2 linked regions of the Bombyx mori genome follow. The protein of the gene in region 1 purifies or fractionates together with the protein of each later gene. This does not show direct contact. Links are inferred from orthologs where the notes say so. Each region holds a gene or a part of one and is shown in the gene's direction. Other genes may lie near its edges.

Region 1 (3,660 bases):
CCGCAGTCTATCAAAGTGTACGTACGATGACAGTACCTGTCACGCAAAGGATTTTCATAATTTAATATCTTTATTAAGTAAAATTGACTGAACTTTGTTTTGATAAATCTCGCATCGAAATCTAGAAGAAATAAATTTAATGACGACAAAAAGATCATCGGGCTAGATAGATATTTGCGTATCGATCGACTGCGGCACATTGAGGAATATGAATTGCAAATGTTCAATTGAGACTGACTCATCTACAAGGCATCATCGGTTAGAATCTTTACGATCCTTACTGACTTACTGCTAGGAATGAGGATAAAATAATTTACGTTCATATATACTTATATCTCTTGATTACTGTATAAAAATCAATTTCAGTCTTTGAATTCCTAAGTAGAGCGTTCGTGGCTGTAGAACATATTTCGTGTAATGGCCTTTATTCAGCTCTTTAAGAAAAAACGCTCAGACACTCGCTCTCCAATAATTGCTACAGATGTTCTGAATTTGTTGGTGTTCGATTTTTACCCTTCTGTCGTGTTCATCCCAAACCAGTTCAATGGAAAAGAGGTCAGATCACTGAGGTGGCCATTGCCTTAGACAAGGCCATTCTTTCTGAAAAAGATCGTAACCTAATGAATCGATTCACGAAATAATCGAAGATTTCGAAAGAACCAATTGTTTTCAAGTTTGCATTTACAATGTAAACACAAATTGATTTTATTAAAAATAAGTAAGCTCTTCTTGATAGAGAAGATCTATAAACGATTCCTTATCAGTAAAATCAGGTAATTTGATAATAACAATTATTTTTATTACCATATCAGATCAGGTATAAAAGAAAAAAATTGTTTTCTAAATGTATTTGGTACATTAAAAAGTTAAAAAAATAATAACAATGTACATAGCTTATAGTTGCCAACGCTTAATACACTTAAACAGTCTGTGAAGTCTACTGGGATCCAAGCGGCTCCGCTCGTCACTTGCGAGGTTAGCGGAAATTGAAAGAAGGCACTCACAAGGAGCAAATGATCCCACGATACTCATACACATCATGGGGCTGTTGAGTGAACGTGTTGATCAATAGTTTTTTTTGCCAGTAAAGTATAGGGTCATACTTCAGGTACACAACTGCCTGCGATGAATAGTGCTTAATTTCTTCGTTTAAGTCTTGATTTCCCAGTGCAAGTGAATAATATGTAGAGTTGATTTCCACAAGCATGTTATGAAAATCCCCATTACTTTTTCCAAATCAGTATCTTCTGTTCCGTCGACTTCTTCACTTATTCTTTTGTGGGAGTTGTTGCTGTGATATAATATTTAAAATTAAATCATTTATGAAATCATCTATTTGTTGTTCGATAACAGGCTAATCTATACTATATATCTATATATATAAATCTACAGTGGTTTTTACGGATGTTCCATTATAACTACTGAACCATGCATCTGATTGACTTGAAACTTGGTAGCCATGTAGAAAATACATGTACTTAATGGATAAGCTAATATTTGAGTGTTGGACTCCCTAATAATAATGACAATAAATAATGTTAATTTTAAATGTCCAGCAAGCGGGCGAGTTCGGATAGTTGCATATAATTTAATGGTTTTTACCAAAACAGAAAAAAATAAATGCTTAGTGCTTCTTATATGTATTTTATTACTATTGATTGAACTGGACCTGTTTAAGGGTTGACTAAGCAACAGACATGTCTACTATTTTAAACACGATCATTTTCTTTTTACTTTTACAATGTATGTTTGTAATAATAACAGACAGATCAGTCGGTACTGTTGTGGAGTTCTCATTTTCCAAAATTCACTGCCAAGCCTCCAAGTGCGAAGTTGTTAAAAACCCGGTTAAAAATTCTAGGTTCAAACTTGCAAACATTATTGTATGCATGCTCACAATTTGTCTTACCCAAGTTACTTATTTGTAAAAGGTCACATTATCATTAAAATTTAGTATTTTAGTGATATTTTTAAATTGAGTCTTGAAGTTATTTTTTATATAGGCAAAAAGAGGACTTTGTAAATTAACGTGATGTGTGCTCGGCTTGCAGGGCGCAGAAGACAAATTGAACATGATCAGAGCGTACCGCAGCCAGGTTGAGAAGGAGCTCCGTGACATCTGCTCTGACATCCTCGGTGTCCTCGACAAGTACCTCATCCCCAGCTCACAGACCGGAGAATCAAAAGTTTTTTATTACAAAATGAAGGTCAGATTCATAACCATACAATGTTTTATTTTACATATTTTCCAAGAGGAAAAAAGCTTATTTCTAAAAGATATTTATTATAAAGTATTTATGGGTATTAAAGGTAAGTATTAAAGGGTTATTATAAAGTACATATTTATGAAATTAAAATTTATCAAAATGTCACTGATTATCGAAAACATTTCATATCATTATATATATAATGTCATCATACATCTAAGCATTTTATAGTTTATTGAAGAAAAACAAAACATGTAACAAAAATGTGAGATAATTTGGGCATTTTTTTAATTGTGATATGTAATATCTAAATAAACTAAAATTGGTGCTAATACCAAATAAAACGCATCTTTAATTACAAAGATAAATGTCCCGTATTAAGTGAAATGTTGCTTAAATAGCTTTTCACCTTTCGATGTGTATATATGTAAACTTATATAAGTATGTATGTCCAGTCTCTGGTAGCCATAACACCGAGAATCTTAATTTGGGGCCGCGTGATTTGTTCTTTGTTATTTATATTCATTTATTTATCACTGACATTTTCGTGTTGTTACAAACATTTTATTTCATACTAAGTTTGTGAAGATAATAACGAGCACACCGAAAAGGCAAATGTTAGTAGATGTAATTGTACATGTGGGTGCGTTTGTTGCAGGGCGACTACCACCGGTACCTGGCCGAGTTCGCGACCGGCAACGACCGCAAGGAGGCTGCCGAGAACTCGCTGGTCGCGTACAAGGCAGCCTCCGACATCGCCATGACCGAACTGCCCCCCACCCACCCCATCCGCCTCGGACTCGCGCTCAACTTCTCCGTGTTCTACTACGAGATCCTGAACAGCCCGGACCGCGCCTGCCGGCTCGCCAAGGCCGCCTTCGACGACGCCATCGCCGAACTGGACACGCTCTCGGAGGAGAGCTACAAGGACTCCACGCTCATCATGCAGCTGCTGCGGGACAACCTCACGCTGTGGACCTCCGACATGCAGGGCGACGGGGAGTCCGCCGACGCCGAGCAGAAGGAGCCGGCGCAGGACGGCGAGGACCAGGACGTCTCGTAATGGCCGCGCCTCCCCCTAATTATATACAAATAACTATAGTATCGTATAAGAGCCAGCCCGCAGTGCCGACCCGCGGGCCCGGGACCGCCCTCTCACTGTTCGTTTTCGATTATGGAAAGTATATCATATGTAATATAATACTTTGGTATTGCATTTTAACTGTTGTTTAGAAAACGTTGTCTAATCTCGGCTCCGGTCCCGCCGACAGGCCCTCCGCGCACTGTCCGGCGATTCCGCTTCTTTCGTATTACAACATTTGGAGTATTCACATTTGAATTGCTTTAATTACTTACGAGTATTGTGATAGAGATTTTTGTATATTTTAATTTATTTTTTTTAATTTCGCAAAGTATCTCTAAAATGAAGTGTAGCGCTCCACCCCCAGGACGA
Region 2 (3,760 bases), on another chromosome or scaffold:
TTGTTATTAGGACCCAATAGGCGTGATCGCAAGCTTTACACGGGGCTGCGAAAGTTTCCCGGATTTTTTAAATCACGAAGTTACAGATCCAACATTCCGAACTTTTTATAGAGCATGCACAAATGATTTGTGCAACATTGGTAACTTATTACAATTTGCTTATTTTTTATTTATAATATTACAAAATAAAAATAAAAATAAACATTTAGGAATGGTATAATTGAAGCATGCTGTAAGATTGTTTTTATTAGTGTAAGTATATGAAACGACCCACTTAATTTTAAATGGTTATTGAAACCTATAGACACGACAGCGTGAATACCATTACTTATTTAAAAGGGAGTGATCCGAAGGCTCAATTGTGTTGGAAGCGGTGTTGGTGGTGGCGGTTATGTTAGCCTACAAAGTTCAGAAACAGCAAAGCGACGGTAATAGATATCGAGCTCAAAGGGCAGTACCTATAGTGTAACAAGAAGATAGCAACTATGAATAATGGACTACATAGGTACAAGAGAAACAAATAATGAACTATATAACAATCTATCTATTCTACACGTACTGCTATTACTTCACGTCCTACACATCTAGTCCTCAGAATATTATGTCATCAAATTAGAACTAAAATGAACTACACATGTTTTAGGTGATGGAATTCAGTCTATAGTCGGCGGTAATTTGTCTCCGTATCCTGCATACACCGGCATTAATCTATTAGTACCTGGGACAGGAAGCGGAGTAAATATCAAAATGAATAGAGTGTTGTTCTTTTCTGTGATAATGATCCTAATCGGGTTACATGTTTAAATAAATAATGTTCATTTTATTTTCTTCAAATCAGAATATTTTTTTGTAATATCTCAATAAAATACAGAAATTACATTAGCTCTTGTCATTAAGTACTTCCACAATATTACGTCCTAGAGTATCTGTACCTCGTACTCAAGCTAACGTTGGTTGACTATATCCCCACAGATTATTCAGAGACATGACGTTACCTAGGAAAAACGCTTTTGTCAGTGTCCAAGAGTCCAAATTGTCATTAAGTGAAAAATAGCTATAGCTACCAAAATGTCTGTTAAAAAACTTGATACCTAGGTTAAGAATTTTAGATAAAATATGTAATCAATAACATAAAGTAACATAAAAACTCTTACTAAATTAACAATGACTACGTCTCCTACCAGAACAAAACAGAAATTGTCTTTGCGGAAACGGTTATTCGTAAAAAAGTCTCCTCGAGTCGGTTGCTATGTTGATACAGAATCAAACGATGAATTTTCTCAGTCCACGTCTCGGCCCATATCGCCCGCGGATCCTTTTTTAGCTCAAAGTGCGCAGCATATCGAAACCAGTGTAGAAGCGATAGATAATCAACGAAATGCTAGTGCTGAACCACTTTCCCAGAATAGTAGTCACGGTGTCAGTCACAACCAAAGAGAAGAGGAGATCAACCCTAAATGCTGCCGTACCTTCTTTAGAAGATCTCGACCCAAGAGCTTAGTAGATGGAGGTCATTCCAAAGATGAACAGTGTCCAGATACATCCAGAGGTTGCAGTCCAGTATCGAATTCTATTAATAGTTTAAGTGACCAAACTATTTCTCAAACGAAATCAGACGAAATACCCAAAGCAACTATCAAATTTCCTAAAAGTGATGATTCAAAAAAGAGCTTTGAACATTCTGGTTCATTTGAGGGCATCAAAACAAAAAATAAACTCTTTGTCAAACGTTTATCAGCTGATCATCTGATTTCTACTGAAAGCAAACCACTATTTCGTTCTTCATCTCCCGAGAGTGATAGGAGTAGTTCTCTAGATCGTAAAAGAAGGTAATTATTAGGTTATTATATTGTAGTATTTTTTATTAAACAATTTATAATCATTAAAAAAAAAATGATCTATTAAAGATTAACAAAGATTGGTTTTTCTTAGTGTATGAATAAAAATTATAATATACCCACTTCATTTTATAGAAGTAAATCAACAATAACCCGGTCTGCTTCTCGTGCGGGTAGCACTGATAGCTTAGCACGTAACTCTTTGCTTGCTGCACAGGTGCTACGCCTCATACCCACACAAGAAGCTCGTGAAAGGTAGGATATAAACATCCATATACAATCATATGCTTAATACAAACTACTTACGGTATTATTATTATATAGTATATTATATATTATTATCTATAGTATTTTATAAATTATTACCAAAACTACTGAAATAAATGGTATATTAAAAAATAATTACTCAAGTCTCACTGTAGATAAAAGTAGAGTATTAAAAAAGTAAGATAACTAGTCGAGAATGCTTAGCCATGTTATTTCGCAGAATACAACAATAAGGAGAGAAAGCTATTACCCATAGACACAATCAACTGAATTTCTCGCTGCATTTTTTCAGTTGGTCGCAATTCTGTTCTGGTGGTAGATTCTGCGAAGCACTACTCTTGCTAGGGCTAGTATAAGCAAATTATTTCAGGTTGAGCACATGAGCTCACCTACCCATCTGCGAGCAGCTGAAATTGCTCCTTAGGTTACCAGCGAATATGTAGGAAAAAAACCACTATTCGGGATGAAGTAGTATAATAGAAAACCAAACTCAGCCAAATTTGTTGTCACACTTGCCTTATAGCATCAGCTAATTATGTTTCTAGCTAGATTCCCTCAGTGAGTTCTTATTCTGATCTGGTGGTGGAGGTTCACAGCTGCCACTGGTGATATTTTTGTTAGGCTACCTTACCACCACCAGAGTACCTTTGACACTTGATCCATCTGTCCTGAAGATGGAAAGGAAATCTAATACAAAACAAGTAGCCAAGCTCACTTACCAATACTCTTTATACAATAAATTATCAAACATATTAGAATTATGTAAAATAATCTTAAATTTACTTTATAAAGAAAGTTTAAATAAAGGTATTAAAAAATAAGCATTAGCTCCTTTCATAAGCAACCAATTAATAAATAATTGTTATAGATGAATTGTAATGGTGATTGTTAATTGGGGTATAATAGTGGTAGTCTTGTGATTCTGCATGGCTAGATACCACTACCCAGCCTATTTTTACCGTGAAGCATTCATGGGTTTTGGTTTGAAGGATGGTGCAACTATTGTAATTGTAAGAACTCATGTCTTAAAGTGGATGACAGCATCAACATCGCAGATGTCTATGAGCTCTGGTAACCACTTAACACCAGGTGGGCTATGAACTCGTTCACCCAATAATAATAAAAAAGTCAATTAGAAATACTATATATTTCTATTATATTATACATTGACACTATATACATAATATTATCAGATGAAATTTATAGGCATCTGATATTTTTATATTATGCTATTTTTCAGAGAATGTTTTATAACATATAATCATTAAAAAATATATTTAAGTAATGAGTCATAAATAAATCAAACTAATTATTTACTTTGCCTTTACCTTATCAGCCAAGTACAATATGGGGACTGAGTCACTGTTACCTTGAAGTTAATTACAATAACGTACTACGAAAATGAGATCCTAAATTAAAACTTGTAGTACATTCTACAGAACATGTTTTAAAAGTTTTATATAATACACTGTTTTTTTTTTATCGTGTGTTTAGTGTCGTATTCTATTTTAATGCAGAAAAATCTATTGGTACTTCAATTACAAAAATGGAAAGATCAAATGAAAATGTTTATTTCAGAAATTACCTTTATGGTAGACTTGCCTCACATTCACTCCTCGGCGCAGCTGAACTAGAACATGTTTTTCCTGATAGAG

What was found. The genes of interacting proteins can lie anywhere in the genome.
Region 2: the proteins of Ywhae (region 1) and inositol polyphosphate 5-phosphatase E purify together in Homo sapiens (affinity purification with mass spectrometry; 3 studies listed by BioGRID and IntAct, with this or other methods). This does not show direct contact. The link is inferred for Bombyx mori from reciprocal best matches to the Homo sapiens genes YWHAE and INPP5E.

Annotation. Positions count from the first base shown.
Region 1 is NC_085122.1:14,139,101-14,142,760, forward strand, and holds part of Ywhae (14-3-3 epsilon protein), read left to right. Parts: intron 1-2,051; coding exon 2,052-2,207; intron 2,208-2,865; coding exon 2,866-3,270; 3' UTR 3,271-3,660. UniProt on the Homo sapiens protein: Adapter protein implicated in the regulation of a large spectrum of both general and specialized signaling pathways. Binds to a large number of partners, usually by recognition of a phosphoserine or phosphothreonine motif.
Region 2 is NC_085123.1:6,741,693-6,745,452, forward strand, and holds the start of inositol polyphosphate 5-phosphatase E, read left to right. Parts: upstream 1-1,007; 5' UTR 1,008-1,164; coding exon 1,165-1,829; intron 1,830-1,973; coding exon 1,974-2,093; intron 2,094-3,683; coding exon 3,684-3,760. Other genes in the region: uncharacterized protein LOC101746422, read left to right, coding at 11-140, 644-804. UniProt on the Homo sapiens protein: Phosphatidylinositol (PtdIns) phosphatase that specifically hydrolyzes the 5-phosphate of phosphatidylinositol-3,4,5-trisphosphate (PtdIns(3,4,5)P3), phosphatidylinositol 4,5-bisphosphate (PtdIns(4,5)P2) and phosphatidylinositol 3,5-bisphosphate (PtdIns(3,5)P2).